2 linked regions of the Lepisosteus oculatus genome follow. The main gene of each other region encodes a partner of the protein of the gene in region 2 in a complex. Links are inferred from orthologs where the notes say so. Each region holds a gene or a part of one and is shown on either strand. Other genes may lie near its edges.

Region 1 (7,702 bases), on a different chromosome or scaffold from region 2:
TCTAAAGATGTCAGTCAAGTCTCTTCTCCATTCAGTGATTAATTGTTAATAATTAATGTCATTTTGGTCATTAATTTGAAATGAATTTAGACAGACACCCTCATGAAATAAGGACTTCAGGAGTTCTTTCTCCAGAAGTGGTGTTATAGCAACACTGTCCTCAATTACAGAACTGCACTTAACTCGATTACTTGTAATTATTTAATTACTTCTTTCTCTTCCGTGACAGTAATGAGGACTGAATGATGGGACAGTCCTAGAACTGGGTTCCAAAGCAAATTGTTCTCATGGAACAATAACAAAAACATGCTACCATTCGGTAGCTTATCTTTTTATTCAGTCATTTATTGCACACCCTGGCCACTGGACAAACAGACATGACATGTACAGTAAGACTTTAACTGAATACATGATTTCTCTTAATTGCTATGCTTTATCTCCCCTTATCATGGTTGCAGCCTGATCAGTCATTAACTAGAAATGATTTGTTATAATGAATTAAAAAATTAAATTTCCTGAATTTAAGGACTTAGGTGATTAATTTGCCTTTAGGTTAATAAAAGATTCAATTATAATTTTTCATCTGGAGGCAAATCCAAATTCTTGGCTGCTGCAGCATAGACAACATAAGAACATATTAGCACCAAGGAGCAGTAGAACTAATAAAATAAATGGCATTATAATTCCCTGCCAAGTTCCACCAAATCTTACAAGAGACTTGTTGACATAATTAATTTCATATCCACCTACCAATTACAAGTGCCTTTAAAATACAAAAAAGGAATTCATATTAGATTATGTCCCGCACCAGCAATTTAATGATTACATTCAACTAAGTAATATTTAGAGCGCAATAAATGCTAAGAGACAAAAGGAAGTCATTTGGCATATCTAGCTTGTTTGGTTGTTAGTGGCTTTATTGATCTGACAGTCTCAATTCAACCATTTCTCCAAACACAGGATGCCTTCATCAATGTGGCAGAGAAGCTAAATCCAATAAAAAAGAATCACTTTTTATTAGTAATCTAATTCTAACTACTAGATACAAACAGTAAACAGTAAAAAGTAACTTAACTGCACATTTATGAATGGCTGAATAGTAATGGAATTTTCAATTGTTAGGAAGAGTAATGCTTCAGATGTCAAATGCAGTTACTTGCCAGCACATTTTTAAGCAGAAAAGGCAGCACAGAACGTGAATTTAATAGCAAATAATAGCAAAATCTTACAAAAATGTGGTGGACTTATTGCACACTTGCGTTACTTTACAATAGGCTTTTAAAAACTGCAAAACACAATTTCAGTCAGAACTGAACTGGATACCACTTCACACTATAGATTTCTTACTTTGTGTTGCATGTTGGCCCATGTGAGAAACCGTATCTCTTTCCTAACTTAAAACATCCACATACAGTCATCAATGTGAGTTTGTGTTACTGTATGTACTGCAGAAAATTTGAATATTCTGCTCTAAAGCAAAACAGGAACATGACTTGCTTCCCTGCAATTCTATTATGCAACAAACAATTTTAATAAAAATAAATATTCACGTGAAAATAGACAATAACAAACACAACCGTTTCATTCTAAATTTGTAGAAGCTTAAGATTTCCCCCCCCAACATTAAAAAAACAGAATGCCGTAGCTTTAAATACATTGTTAATACATAGGTACAGATGGCAGCAGTTAGGCAGTGCCCAGATGGTGAAACCTCTAATTTGAATCAAAGGCTATAATTAAGAAACAAAAAATTAAAAAGCATAGCATGAGGATTTGCTTTTTAAACATGAAACACAACACAAATTACAGCAAGAGAAGTTTGGTTTATGTGGTCGTTATTAAATATTTAAATGAACAATTTCTTTCTTCTCTAAATAAGCTTCATTTTAAAAAGAAATTCATTTCCATATGTGCAATTTGGAAAGGCTATATCCTGCAGAGCTTTCTGTGTCTTGCGTCTCAACAATAGGTTTACTGAAGATGACTTCTCGTATGTCAGTTCGTGTGGAACGACTGGTTTCTCATCAAAGGTTTGAATACGTACTAATTTTGTTCATTTCCCTGTCTGGTGTCAATAATTTACAGTAGGGCTGTACTTAGCTAGTGTCTTGTTCTTAAAATTACTCAAGTACAAATTCCGATGACATCTGATTTTATTTGGCATACGCATGACATTCATCTAATTATTATCGTAATATAATGTATTTGGAAATAAAGGCGGACTGGACATTATAAATCGTGATTAAAAAAGTGTTTTTAATATTGCTGTAGAATACCACATGGAGTAGTCCTGGAATGAAAACCAACACACCTCCCTTCCAATTTTAAGGCCAAATAAACAGTGTTGCAGTATTTAGAAAATTATCATTACAGAACATCTGCCTCTCTTGTCTCTGTACAGTACTATGGAAGAGCAGCATTTTCAGATCAGTATACAGTATACACTTAAGATAGTATACAAAAGTATCGTGTTTTACATCTGCAGTTGCCTCAGTTGGTGTGTGAACTGCACATCAGATGTACAAGTACATTTTGAAGTGCTTCTGTCACCCCTTTTGACAACATTTCCATCGCCAAAAGAGAAGCAAAATTAAAAATTTGACGCATTAATTCAACGTGAAAATGAAGACCCAAGCATATTTTAGCTTTAAGCATACATTAATCGCGTTTCAACCCCTCAATCCATTTTCAGTCTGCCAGTCTTAGCGAGGGTCGCGGTAGAAGTTCAATATTAATAAAATGACCATCAGTCACTCGTCGCTTTGATATGACAATACTAGACCAAGGCGTGATAAATGTTGACACTTCTCGCCACTCAGCTACAATTGTGTTACAAAATAACGTCAGTTGTCATTTACAAATTAACAGGAAGACGATAATGCATGCTTGAAAAAGTTTGTTTTGTTTAATTTTAACTCTGCAGTCCGGAGGATTAAATTGACCGTTCACGCTAATAAAACTCCCCGGTAGCTAGCGTCCGGAAAGAAGTTACAAACTTACCCGTTTCAAACTGAGCAGAAGTTGGGAGAAATCCAGCCAAAAGGATTGCAACTGTCAACGATCCCATCGCTCAACTTGAGAAGAGAGGACAGACGAGGTGCTCTTTCGTGGAGTCTGAGAAAGGAAGAGTCGCAGGTGACTTGTTTCGGACACAGCACGTCTCCGATCTGAAAAGTCAAGTCGCGAATGGTTTAAGTTAAAGCCAGCCCGGACCGCGTCTGATCCCCCAGCTACAAGGCAGATCCGAACCACACAGACAAGAGATAGTAGAAAGCAGGGATCCTATTTCTAATCATGTGACAGGAAATCGGGGCCACAGCTTCAACCTGCAAGATTGGGCATAGAGCGAGCGGTTTGCTGGCTGGTGGTATTAGCAGCGGGTTAGAGCTGGCTGTCAACAGCGAACTGCAGTTTTAGTGCTTGTGCGCAAGCAGTATCCGAATGGCTAAAATACCAGTTAACTTAAGCATCGCCGTAAAAAGGACTGTCAGTCTGGGGAAACCAGGAATTTCCGCTGAGACCGCGTTTGTTAATGTTTAAATGGAAGCGTATTGAATAACCTAAAGAACCAGTGTCTTTATCGCGTTTTAATAGTATGTTTCTAATTGATTCAGGAATAGATTTTCCTTCCCTTTTTAATATGTGGATTGCTTTTATATTCTTGTTAAAAAGCCAAGTCGCGACTCTCGTATGATTTAGCTAATCCCAGCAGCCCAAAACATTTTCTTTCACTGAAAACAACCCTGGGCAGCTTGTCTGCACTTGATAGCATTCAGTCCCTTGTTCACAAAATTGTGCAAACGGGATGCCTATGGACTGTTATAACAAGGCGTGAAAAGTAATTAATTCGCTTTCGAGATTCTAGTGTAGAGTGATTGAGGTACGTAGGAAGGTAGGGAAACGGATACAATTAGCTCCCGTATCTACTGTATGTATTGAAGGTATGTGTTGTTGTAGTTGTTTCTACACTAACACCCAGGCAAATTAAAAATGTATCATATCCTTTATTATCCAGGCTGCTTACTAATGAACCTGTCTTAAGGGTCATAAGAACTCTGGACCTTGACCTAAATAGGAAAACCAATGGCCCAAACCATTCGATTGCATACCTATCTATCACACTAAATGTAATCTACACTTGGATTTGTGAATTCACAACACTGAATTTTATTGTTTTTTTTTAAGTTTAACCGGTGAATTATTGCTTTTCCATGTAATTGCCTCAGCGCCTGAGGAAAAGTGAATAGGGTGATCAATTGAAGGGGCTGCTCGTAAGGAGGATATTGTAGTGTTCAGATTTCAAAGCCTTCTTTGCAGAACAGGATAATTGAAGGACAATTATCATTGTGCTTCAGATGGGCAGAATCCCATCATGAGCTGAACTATCAAAGCTTTTTTCGTGAAAAAAATATACTCAGATCAGAAGATAATTACGCGTATGTCTATGGGATTGTAAGGATTATACTTAAATTAATAATGTAATACTGAAGTGAAATGCAAATAAAAAAATAATTACTCAGTGGTATACAAGTTATCTACCCTTATGCTTTAGAAATGCTCAGAAATATGTTCAGGCACAGAAATGAGACATCGTTTTCTTTTCATTTCTTTATATTTTAAAGCTCAAATCTTGAGCAGTATTAGCATTATTTGAACCATATTTCAATGAATTCCATTCAAGTATGCTATACGTATCCCTCTTGTGGACATTGTTTGTATTACAAGTGTAATTGAACTGAGGGTATGAAAATTGAATTTTTAATCAGTAGAGTAGTGGAGATTAAATATAGCTGATTAATAGAAGAATTTAGCAGAGCTTGAAATACGTTTTTTCCATAACCACAGAAGCAGTAAAATAATAAAAAAATTAAGAAACTTGGTGTTCAAATCAAGATTTGCATCATCTATTCATTATGATCAGAATCGTTATTGCAGTTAGTTTCAACTCTTAACCCTGAAAAGAAGAAAACATTAAAACAAATAGAATATTTCCACCCAGACTAATCATTATTTGGAGAATGGTCCTTGTGTATTAAAATAATTGGTATATAAACTAAATTAATAACATTTAAGGCATCTGAAATGCTTTCCTTTTTTAAAATTAATCTCCCTTACAATGCACTACATGGAAAACGACCCTGAGCAATTCATCTCTGTATGTACTAGTATGAATTTCTAGTAGAGCTGAAAAAAAAACGCATCCAGTTGCTTTCATGGAAAGGCATTTTATAGAGTACGTTACCTAGATTAATCATTGGCAACCAAGATACAGTGTCTTAGATCACTGTCTACTGTACATAATTTATCCATTCATTCAATTGAGTTTAAATTGAGAGCACTTCCATTGTCATTGACGTCTGAGACACTGATAGCCAGGGGCTTTTGTCTGGTGAAATTTGTTTCTTCTTATTGTCACTTCAGGTTCAGATGACTGCATGAACTGTCACTAGAAAAGGGATTTAACGTGTTAGGAAATTGCAGTAACATGGGATGAAATATTTTCCATATATTCCCACTGCTATTTCTGTACAGTATGTAACGTAACCATTTAGAGGAGAAAACAATATCATCTTTCATTCCATAAATAATATATTTAAGAAAGCGTACAAAGTCTTGGAAAATAATTATTGGTCAACCCTAGATGGAGACGCACAAAATTTGATGTTACATTTCACAGACCACAAACATGGGACAAGAAACAATAGTTAAAAACAACAACAAACAATTTGTACCATACTTTTTGTTTTTCACAGCAAAATTGGAGGGAATATCTTTTATTCTTTTGACATGATCTCACAGAACGATAACCATTTTTCGTTGAATTTGTGCAAGGATAAGACAGACATTTGAGAGAGACAGAGAAAATGCTTGCTTAGGAAATGAATATAAAGCTGTCTGACAAACGTGTCTGAACCTGTCTGCGTCAGTGGTTTATTGCGTTTATAGTGTCACCTCTCTTTTTCTAAATTCTCTTTTGTGTAACATGGCCAGGCCACTAACCAGCCCCAGCCGAATTGCTGTGCATTGACAACTGTTTTTCAGCTTGGCTTTCTTTGTCCAGTTATATGTGTTCTACATGGGTGCAATTCTTCATGTAACTCTGACGTCTGTGTTATGCATTTAAGCATTTTTTCCTTAAATTGCTAGTACACTTTCGTGTGCTATGGACTTTGAAACCCTTTTAACTTGCATTTACATTCAGTAATAAACTACAGATTTAATTGCAGCAGTTTGACCAGTAGATTAAAAACGGCCAAGTCTACATGCTACTGCGTCTTGGCCTTTTCCCGTAGAAATATTATATACCCACTTCAAAAATATGCTGTTCCTTAATCAGGTTTCACCTTCAATGGTATCTAATTGCCTCCGCATGCGGTCCGTTCTTTTTTTGACCCACTTCTTCGTGTTTATTTTGATATCCTCCATGCCATCTGGTCCGATCTGCCCCTGTTCATTTACTCAAGGGCAACATGTCAAAAGGAATAACAGGAGATGTACGCTTACTAAAGGATTATTGGAAGCATGACTTGAGGAAAAACAGAAAGCAATTATCTGCTTATTGAAAAAAAATGAGAAAAATGTTTTCACAGATTATTCTGGAGTGGGGAACGATGTTGGTGTTCAGTCTTCGTGTTCCAATAACAATAACATTGGCAGTACCTCGAATTCCATGCAGCCATTCCCTCTGCACGATTAGAGATGTTCATCAAGATGTTCAGCTATACTTTACAGAAATTTCTTTAGTGCCATCTAATATCAAATGTTACTTATTTCCCCCCATTTTGTACCCATGAGTAAATGTTAAATTTCAGGAAAATATTATTTTTGTAACAAAACATTACTGCTTAATTTCATGTGATGTATCAGCATTGTAAGCTGTACTACTGTGCTTGCTCCATTAGTGAGGTTTTGCGGTACAGGATAGACACAGCTGTGCTTCTCAATTAAACAACATTTGCTAACATGAGATGCACTGACCTTGTGTACAAGGTCAAAATCATTTCACCATTAGGAGCAAAGGCCTTTTCTGATGTTTCAAGTCTTATTAAACCTGGCATTTAATCATACTAATTCTTGACGTCTTGCAATGAATCAGCATGAGTCTGGTTCATACAGTACATCTGTTCATATGTAAAAAAAAGCTTCCACCATAAATCTGTCCCCACACATTTTCCATCCAGTTCCAGGTATGTTGTCTGATCTGGTCTATGCCTAAATTCATTTGAAGTTGTGAGTAGGAAATGACTGTGTTGACCCTCATCACAATTTTAGAGACTTCAGTCAAATTTCCCTGAAGCTTTCTTTGTTCCTGGCCAGGAAGGTTCACTCCTCTGAACCTGCATTTATAAATCATACCCTTTAGCCCTGGGATTAGTCAAATTGGTATTGCTCCTGGTCTCTAATTAGTGAATGTTGACACCCTTTGGAATGTTACATGTATCTTTATTGTAAACCAGCTTCCTTTTACTTTAAGGTTAGGCAAAGAGGTAATATAGAAACACTAAGGAGGGAAAAGACTGAAATTTGCAAACATCTGTGCATCTTGGGCAGGTGCAACATATCCCTCCTACCACAGACAAGTGAACCCCAAAGGCTTGCTTTTGGAAGTCTGTTGATGACCCAGAGGTAAAGCCATTGAGGTCTTATACACTAAATTATTATATCATGATGCCCCCTACAAATGACTGTCAAACTATTTTTA
Region 2 (7,904 bases):
GTATGGTGTTCACTGAGGTGCCATGTTTAATTGGTTGTACATCAGGAACATGTAAAATGGGGTAAAGTCTTGTTAATCACAACTAATTTTAGTTTTAATCAGAATAAAAGCTTTTTGTTAAATGAAGTCTCATGATAGTATTTCACTGTAACCAGCTTGCACGCCCATTTTGTATATAATGTAATCATAAGCAAGTATCAGTGTATAGTATTATCTCCATTATATCCACCACAGCTCAATGGTATAGAGTGTATCTTGTTGAAATGTATTTTAATGTTTTTTTTTTCCAAAATGCACACAGCTCACTGGAATGTATTTATATCTTAGTTTGTAAATTTGATATTGTAAATGTTGATGTCAAAACCTTTGGATTCAGACATTCAACTTTGTAACTAAAGCACAAAGATCCATTCAAAAAGTTATAAATACTGGTGTTTAACTAGGTTTTTGCTTCTCGTGTGACATAAGTGCATGAACGGATAAGCCAATTTTGATTATGTTTTAATGAAACACTTTTTTAAAATGTTTTAAATATCTTTACATTTTATTTAAAATAAAAATAAAGGCATTTATATTCATATTCTAAATAGCAATATTACATTGTTTACAAATTTACAATATAGTAGAATGTTTAGGATAACCATGCAGCACCTTTTTTCTTAAAATACTTGTTGACATAAAAATAATTACAGCGTAAGTGCCACTCCGAATATTTACAATACAGTAATTTACTGCAATTATTGTGAAGCTGAAGTTCCGTAAAAGAGAAACGATCAATGCTACTCTGCTATTTTGGGAGAGATAAAAAGAAAACAGAGTATTAAATGTAAACTCTTCCTTTAGCACTTTGAAACACTTTGACCAAAGAATCAGTCCTTAGAATAGGTAAAAATAGATCGTCCGATATCCGCTGCGAGACTGATCAGTGTCTCTGACAGGTGTGAAGTCTGGATGCTTTGCTGCTGTGATCACCCTGCTGGGTTCTACAGGCCAGGCCATCTGCACAGTCGCAGCGCTGAAATATCTCTAAACCATGGGTTCCTTTTCTTCGGTGCTTGGTGCAAACTTGTCCTTCTTTTAGCACAGGCTTGCAGATCTTGGACCAGAAGTGACGAGCGCAGCACAGCCCTTCTGCGCAGTCTGAAGACCTCAGACACACTTCGCCTTCCTGACCTGAAAAGGCAAAGTTAAATGTTAAGCTCTTCGGGGCCGTATGTTTGTGCTTTGCGCAGTTACAAAACATGCTTGCTTCCACATTTCCTTGCATAGAGGTCTACGGTTCAGTCTTGCTTTCGTGAGTGTAGTTGTTACCCATACCTTTAAGCGACTGAGGTCCTGTGGGTACGATGGTTCGTCTAGGATGAGGTTCCACCGTGAACTGATCTTCATCAACAAGACGGTCGGGGATGGTGTCATCGACCACAGCGTGGTAAGTAGTGTCGGGATCATTAGGCAAACACAGTCCTGAAGGAGAAACACGGGTTAAATACACAAAATTAAAATTAAGGTACAGTTTGATGGTAAAATGCCCGTTGGAAACTCTAAAAGCCCCTCGTTTCTCCCCCCCGAGAAAGTTTGTTGAGCTGCACCATAAAACTGGGAATCAAGACGTTTTAAGAGACTATGGTATGCCAGCGTTTCGAAGAATCTTGCCCTAATTGTTCCAGTGTGTTAAAATTTGAGCTCACCATTACTGCAGTGGTTGCCAGGACAGCACATAGCGTCCCGGACGCAGCGCTTCCTGCGTTTCTTGCAGGAGAGACAGACGCCTCGGGATCCGAGGCAGTATTCATCAACGGCACATTCCTCATCATCCAAGCAGCTGTAACTCTTAAGAAGAGAAAAAAAAAAGTATTGGTAAGGTAATGGTCCTTATGTATAGGTGCATGTTTTGGAAAGTAAAAAAGCTACTGTTCCGTTATACATCTGCAAAAAATAGCAAGTTGCTAAGTTGAATGAAATGCGATACTCCTGTTACTGTTAAGCCTGTGTCATGCTTCACATTTTGTGGAGCTAGTTATAAATAGGGACCCCCATCTCCCAACTACTTCAACAGTAACTGCAGAGGTGCTTACCTGAAAGGTGTCCGCGCCAATATTCTTGTTGCCGCTGTCGTACATAAGGATGTCCGGGCTTGCACTGACCGGGTAGCTGGGATTCGGCGCACCGCCGGAAAGGTTTTTGATAGCATTGGAGTTGAACAGACCGGACCCCGCGTTAACAGCATGCGAATAGCCGTACAGCCCGAAACATGCAGTTAAAAGCACTGGTATTGTAGCCAAATGCATATTTAAACTGTGAAATTACAATCGGGAGGAAGAGGCACACTCCTTGGTCACCCTTGGCGATCTAACTGCAGTATAGTCCTCTGTAAGCGTTCAGGTCGAGTAGACGGTGCAGTTCTTTCCCGTTTTTTTCTGAAGATTCACTCGTTCTGTTGCTGGATTTATACATGTGGGGTTGTTTGCATTCCCGCCCCTAGCTATGTATAACAAAGGCAGGGATGAAATTTCAAAGAGATTGGACTCCTGGCGCTTCCCACAGAAACTAACCTATTGGAAGGGAATTCTCTTCCTGGGATTTCACAATGATGTTTGTATATAATTATCAATGATTTTCCTTGAGATTACATCAATCACGCACCGACACATCTTCTGATACACTGGAAGCAGCGCCCATACTTCGCTTCGGATTTAAGGGATATAATTAAACCCATTGTTAATGTAAGAGAACCTCCTAAAAGGCTTATGGCATTTGCTTTTTCTATTTTATGTCAACATTAACTACAGTTACTGTATTTTTCTTTCCCCTCACACACCCAGACTGTTTATCTGTACCACTGTTTAAACGTGATTTGACGAAGTTTAATCCCACTCCTTCTGCGCATGACAGCTGAACTTGAGTATCCTGTTGAAATGTTACATCACTTATTTTATTAGTCTGTATTAACAAAAGGTACAGAATCATGTTTTCTCATTAAACGAGACGTTAGAACAGGGTCATTCTTCCAATTTTACATCCGTCCGCTTTCCGAACCGAAATTAAATAATAATAATAATAAGAATAATAATAATAATAATAATAATATGAATAATAATAATATGAATAATAATAATAACGAGGAACTGTCAAGAACCAAGAACCGGTCAAGTAAATTAAGTAACCCAGACAGTCCTTAAAGTTTTGTAATGGGAGGTTATTCAAGTCATTTTCGGTCCATTAGCAGCATTTGATCCGTTATTGTAATGAGAAAACTTTGAAATGCACTTGATTCAACAATCGGCGAAGATCAAAGGCTGATATGCAAATCACTGGGAGTGAAAAGTTTACCGAATTAATTATCATCTAGCCTAAGTGCTCTAAAACAAATATGGCTTGATTAGCACTCCACGATAAGGAACTGGCATCGGCCTCTCTGAACTTCAGTTCAGGGCTCGATCCAGAAAACATGAAAAGGCGCAGATATTCAACTTGAAAGGAATTTTTCTCATCAACCACAACTTCATACCCGTCGGTATTAACCTTGACATGGATCGACATCTGCTATTTATGGTGTTGATCACTGTAAAATGTAATTACAATGACATTCTCATTCCCTCGCTGATGTGACTATTAATTGCACACAAACAGGATAGCCTGCTGCATATTTGTATAACCGGGAAACCTATCATTGAATGAAGTTTTAAAAACTATTGGGACTAATTTATTACTTGCAACTTGAAAAGACATCAAATACAAATGTCCTGTTTACAAGTAGTAGAACAACGTGTGGCTGTCCGTTATGCGCACATAACTTTCTTGTTAAAAATGTTTATTGCTACATAAACTGCTTGAAGTAGTGACTATCGTGTTTTATTTATAATAAAGTTGATATCGATATCCCTTTTCCATCTAATACAATTGAAGATTTTTGTAAATGCTATCTTAAGGTTTTCGCCCGAAGACAAAGAGGACAAAAACATGCGCTGGCGGCATAATAAGAATAATAGTAAGAAGACTGCACAGACAGAAAAAAAGGGCATGGGCTTTTAAGTGTGTTCCTACAGTTTTAGGGATACAAAGCAGAGCTTGACGCGCTTCTTGCTCAAAGCGTTATATCCCGGCACATAATAATAGAGGATAGTCTCAGAAGTGTGTGCGCAAACCCATAACAAATTATAAATACTATGTCGCGGAGAAGCTATTAAAATGTCTTTTTGTTTTCTTAAAGTTACGGTCAGAAAAGGCGCTCAGAAAGTTGAATAGGAGTACCACTTAAGCCTCTGACGGTTTATGCTGCCAATATACATATACATATTTAAAAGCAGTTGCTACCAAGAGTTCTCCACACATTTTATGTTGCCATTTTTTCTTACCTTCAAGAAATCCTAGGATAATTTCTTTTGTAAAGGTTCACACAATAAATAAACGTTTCCAGTCCAACTATGCGTCGCATCTGTAGCCATTAGTGTGTACTTTTAACCATATAGTGTATATATACATACAGGAGGCCCTCCTCGAGTTAAAACACAATACAAAATAAGAGTTTTATTAAGTTAAAAACGAGAATGTGAAAGATGAGGTAGAAGCCTAACTACTGTTGTATCTGGCTAAAAACTGGAAAAAATAGGTTATTACCGAGTTATTCAATGGAAGAATGGATGATTAATCTGAAGATATGTGAGTTTTGCGCGTTTGTCATACTGTCAAATATATATGCTCAAAAAGTCAGTAATAGCCCTTAGCTCTTTCAGTTCCTGTCTAGTTAACACATCGAAAGGTGCGTGATTTACTTATCCGTGTAAATATTTTTAACGTAACTGATTGTTACTTGGATATGAACTTGCGTTTTAAATAACAGCTTTGTGGTGTCCGTATATCTCTCCTCGTGATTAAAAAGGACACGTACTGGACTAGTTCCATTGGCCAAATGTTTGTAACCACAAAACCGCGCTAACGATTTAACAGTTTCTAAGAGAATGTCTGCCTGATACTTTGGATAACCTCTTAAATAAAAAGGCTTTGTGATGCTGTTGACAGAGGTTGGTTATAATAGGCAACTACAAGACAAATGCTCAATACACTTCATTAAACGTGAATTGGCAGCATTCACCCGAATTCTTTGGTCTTTGGCTTTGTTTTAACAGTACATCCAAGCCTACAGTAGTGTAAAATGTAGCTTGTGTTAAGGAGCCTTTGATGAAGAGGAGATCAAACAGAACTAGAACCCCATGTCTTAATCAGACTTTAGCAGGCACGGCATCTTCACAAACAGTCCGTTTACTCGGCTTTTAGCAGGTTTTCACAGACATTGTGCTCAGCAAATTCGTCTGGTTGGACGCCAGGTAATCTTGTTTTCAAATGCCTTCTTGCCGCCTAATCCATTCATACTACAATAGGCTTTACTAGTTAGCCACGTCAAAAGAGTGGTAAATAAATTCATAATAATTTAGTATTAACTGAAACAAGCAGAACATATTAAATATCACAGAAAAACTAAGATACCACACTGCACATAAAAATACGATTTTGGCCCATCTAGTGGACTGAACTCTAGTAAATATTAATGTTTTGATAGCTCCGCTCATTTAATTTTTCTTGAAAATAGTAAATCATATCTGATAGAACTGCTGTTTCCATTATACCGAGACTTCAATTGGTGGTAACACTTTTCTAAACGTGTACTACTGATTTAAATTCTAGTTCTGTCGTTTTAGTACCAATTGTTAACTGAATTCTGATATGTTTAATCCATCCGAATACAAGTTGCGTTGTTAATTGACGGAAATACACCTCTACGTTTCAGACTCTTCGACTGGGGGTGGAGGTTTCTGACGTGGTACGTCCCATATCCAGCACAAACTTGTTTCTGTAATGATATATCGATATACGGCTGTCTCTACAGTTTCGTTGAGACCAAAGGATGGAGATAAGCGTTAAATATCGGTACAACTACGGCTTCATTTCTGATGGCACTGCAAAAACAAAGCTCCATACCTATAAGTTCCGAAGACGGCAGCTAATGAGTGATGCTCTTAACCCCATCAGCTGTGATAGAACAGGAAACGTGTCAGTCGTTTAAAAAATTAGCTGGGATGAGTGAAAAGTGCACTGATAAAAGGACAACGGCAACAATTAACAAAATAAAGAATGTACTCCTAGAAAGGAAAGATGTGGACGAGTCAGTATGATTAGCTTTTTTGAATGGGCTGTAAATTGAGATATAAGCATAAAATGGATATTTGCATTATGTTTCTCAAAAAAGGAGACAAAGCTGCTACTGAAGGGCATGTTGATTTTAGTGCCCTGATGTAAGGGGTTAAAAACTTTGAGCAGCCACCCTTCATAATTCAGCCGTGATGTGCCTTATATGAAATACACAGAGTGAAGAAAGCTGCCATGACACAATGCAATGGATTTCATCTCAACTCCATCATAGGTTTTGGATATGTGCTTATTTGGAAGAACACAAAAGACAGAGGAGCCAAGGGTGTGGGCTACGCTGAGTAAAAGCTTCCCCTTGTTCACAGAAACAGCAGAACGTAAGAAGATACATACTGTATCTACTGTAAAGCTTTACCTTTAAACTTGAATCAGCACCACACCTAAAATGTATATAGCTTTCCTACAAGGCATCACACTGACAGCTACAACCTGGTAGCCTGCAGATTGAATTGCTCTTGTTTGATCCCAGAACAGTAGTAGCAAGGGAATAATGGCCATCATGCACTCTCCTCCTGACTAGCTGATCGATTTCCCTTGGCCTTGCCCTTCAGAGCCTCCAGAGCCTTCTCTGTGAAGACAGGAGAGAGTTTTCTGGGGCTGTGGTACTCTGAACTCCGAATGCTGAAGACAAAAAAATGACATTTTTAATGGTGGACCAGAGGGTGAAAACTGTCTGAGGAGTCTAATTCTCAAAGAATTACAGTTTTTTAAACAGTGAAACATTTCAGCATCACTGATAACGTGAAAACAATAAATGCAGTCAAGAAGTGTCCAAAAGTAACTTGTCTTTATTTTAGCTTCATAAAGTTATACAACAGGCACTCTGCAATTAAAGTTGCAGTGAGAATACAGAATAAGATGAAAGCAGCTCAATAAAGAAATGTTTTAGGCAACACTGAATGCAACTGATAATTACTTCATGAGTTTTGTTGTGGATAAAAAAAACAAAGTTCCCCATTTAACTATTACAGCGAGCAAAATAGCCTGAAACAGGTTAACACACTAACATATAGCAAGTAGCTATTGTACACTGGACAAATAACTTCTCTAATCAAAATCATATATTGAAACGTTTTTCTTTTTCATGGTTCCAGCAACATGACTACATTATTGCAATGGACAATGGAAAAGAATAAAACTGTTATCACTGTTATTCTTATACATATCACAAATGAGTTGCATATACAAGAAAGCTACTTAAAGCAATATTCCTATTATGCTGTGCAGTGCCGAGACTGAGCTGCTCTACAATTCATGCCTTCTTTTGACAATAGCCCCTCAAGAAAAATAGTTGGGGATTGCATGTATTTGATTTTTCTGCCTTGGCCTAAATATCCATTGCCATCTTTCATTGATAGAACTGTTCTTAGATTTTAGGTATTAATTTTTTTAACTTATTGTGACAGGCTTCAATAATTGCACACAGAATACTATTTCAAATAGCTACTTATTATAATCCCTTTAGAATTCTTCAATAACAGAGCACTGATTGTGCCTTCTCTCTAGCTGTGCAATAAAATCCTCGTCAGGCTGCCTGACAGAGGCGGCTGCTACCTAAGGTTACAAATCACATTTGTTATTATTACAGGCTTTGAAGAAAAGCACTTACATGGCTCACAAAGGTAAATGACTAAGAAAAACAAGAAATTTACATTCCTACCCACTTTGTATGTAACATAATAGCATTGGTTTGTGGATTT

The links. Proteins that work in one complex are often made in the same cells at the same time.
Region 1: the proteins of dkk1b (region 2) and kremen1 are in contact, whole or in part, in a crystal structure (PDB 5FWW), measured with the Homo sapiens proteins. The link is inferred for Lepisosteus oculatus from reciprocal best matches to the Homo sapiens genes DKK1 and KREMEN1. Residues at the interface, in NP_036374.1 of Homo sapiens: Cys189, Leu190, Arg191, Ser192, Ser193, Cys201, Arg203, Trp206, Ser207, Lys208, Lys222, His223, Arg224, Arg225, Lys226, Gly227, His229, Gly230, Leu231, His261; in XP_011528731.1 of Homo sapiens: Pro67, Asn88, Asp90, Asp92, Ser94, Trp96, Gly105, Val106, Tyr107, Trp108, Tyr110, Asp127, His128, Gly129, Pro132, Thr140, Asn142, Glu164, Ser165, Tyr167, Ala168, Phe170, Asn189, Val191, Phe193, His196, Asp203, Gly204.

What each region holds. Positions count from the first base shown.
Region 1 is NC_090717.1:3,975,146-3,982,847, reverse strand, and holds the start of kremen1 (kremen protein 1), read right to left. Parts: upstream 3,406-7,702; 5' UTR 3,068-3,405; coding exon 3,001-3,067; intron 1-3,000. UniProt on the Homo sapiens protein: Receptor for Dickkopf proteins. Cooperates with DKK1/2 to inhibit Wnt/beta-catenin signaling by promoting the endocytosis of Wnt receptors LRP5 and LRP6.
Region 2 is NC_090699.1:21,996,635-22,004,538, reverse strand, and holds dkk1b (dickkopf-related protein 1b), read right to left. Parts: upstream 2,902-7,904; 5' UTR 2,289-2,901; coding exon 2,076-2,288; intron 1,831-2,075; coding exon 1,689-1,830; intron 1,465-1,688; coding exon 1,318-1,464; intron 1,174-1,317; coding exon 923-1,173; 3' UTR 576-922; downstream 1-575. UniProt on the Homo sapiens protein: Antagonizes canonical Wnt signaling by inhibiting LRP5/6 interaction with Wnt and by forming a ternary complex with the transmembrane protein KREMEN that promotes internalization of LRP5/6.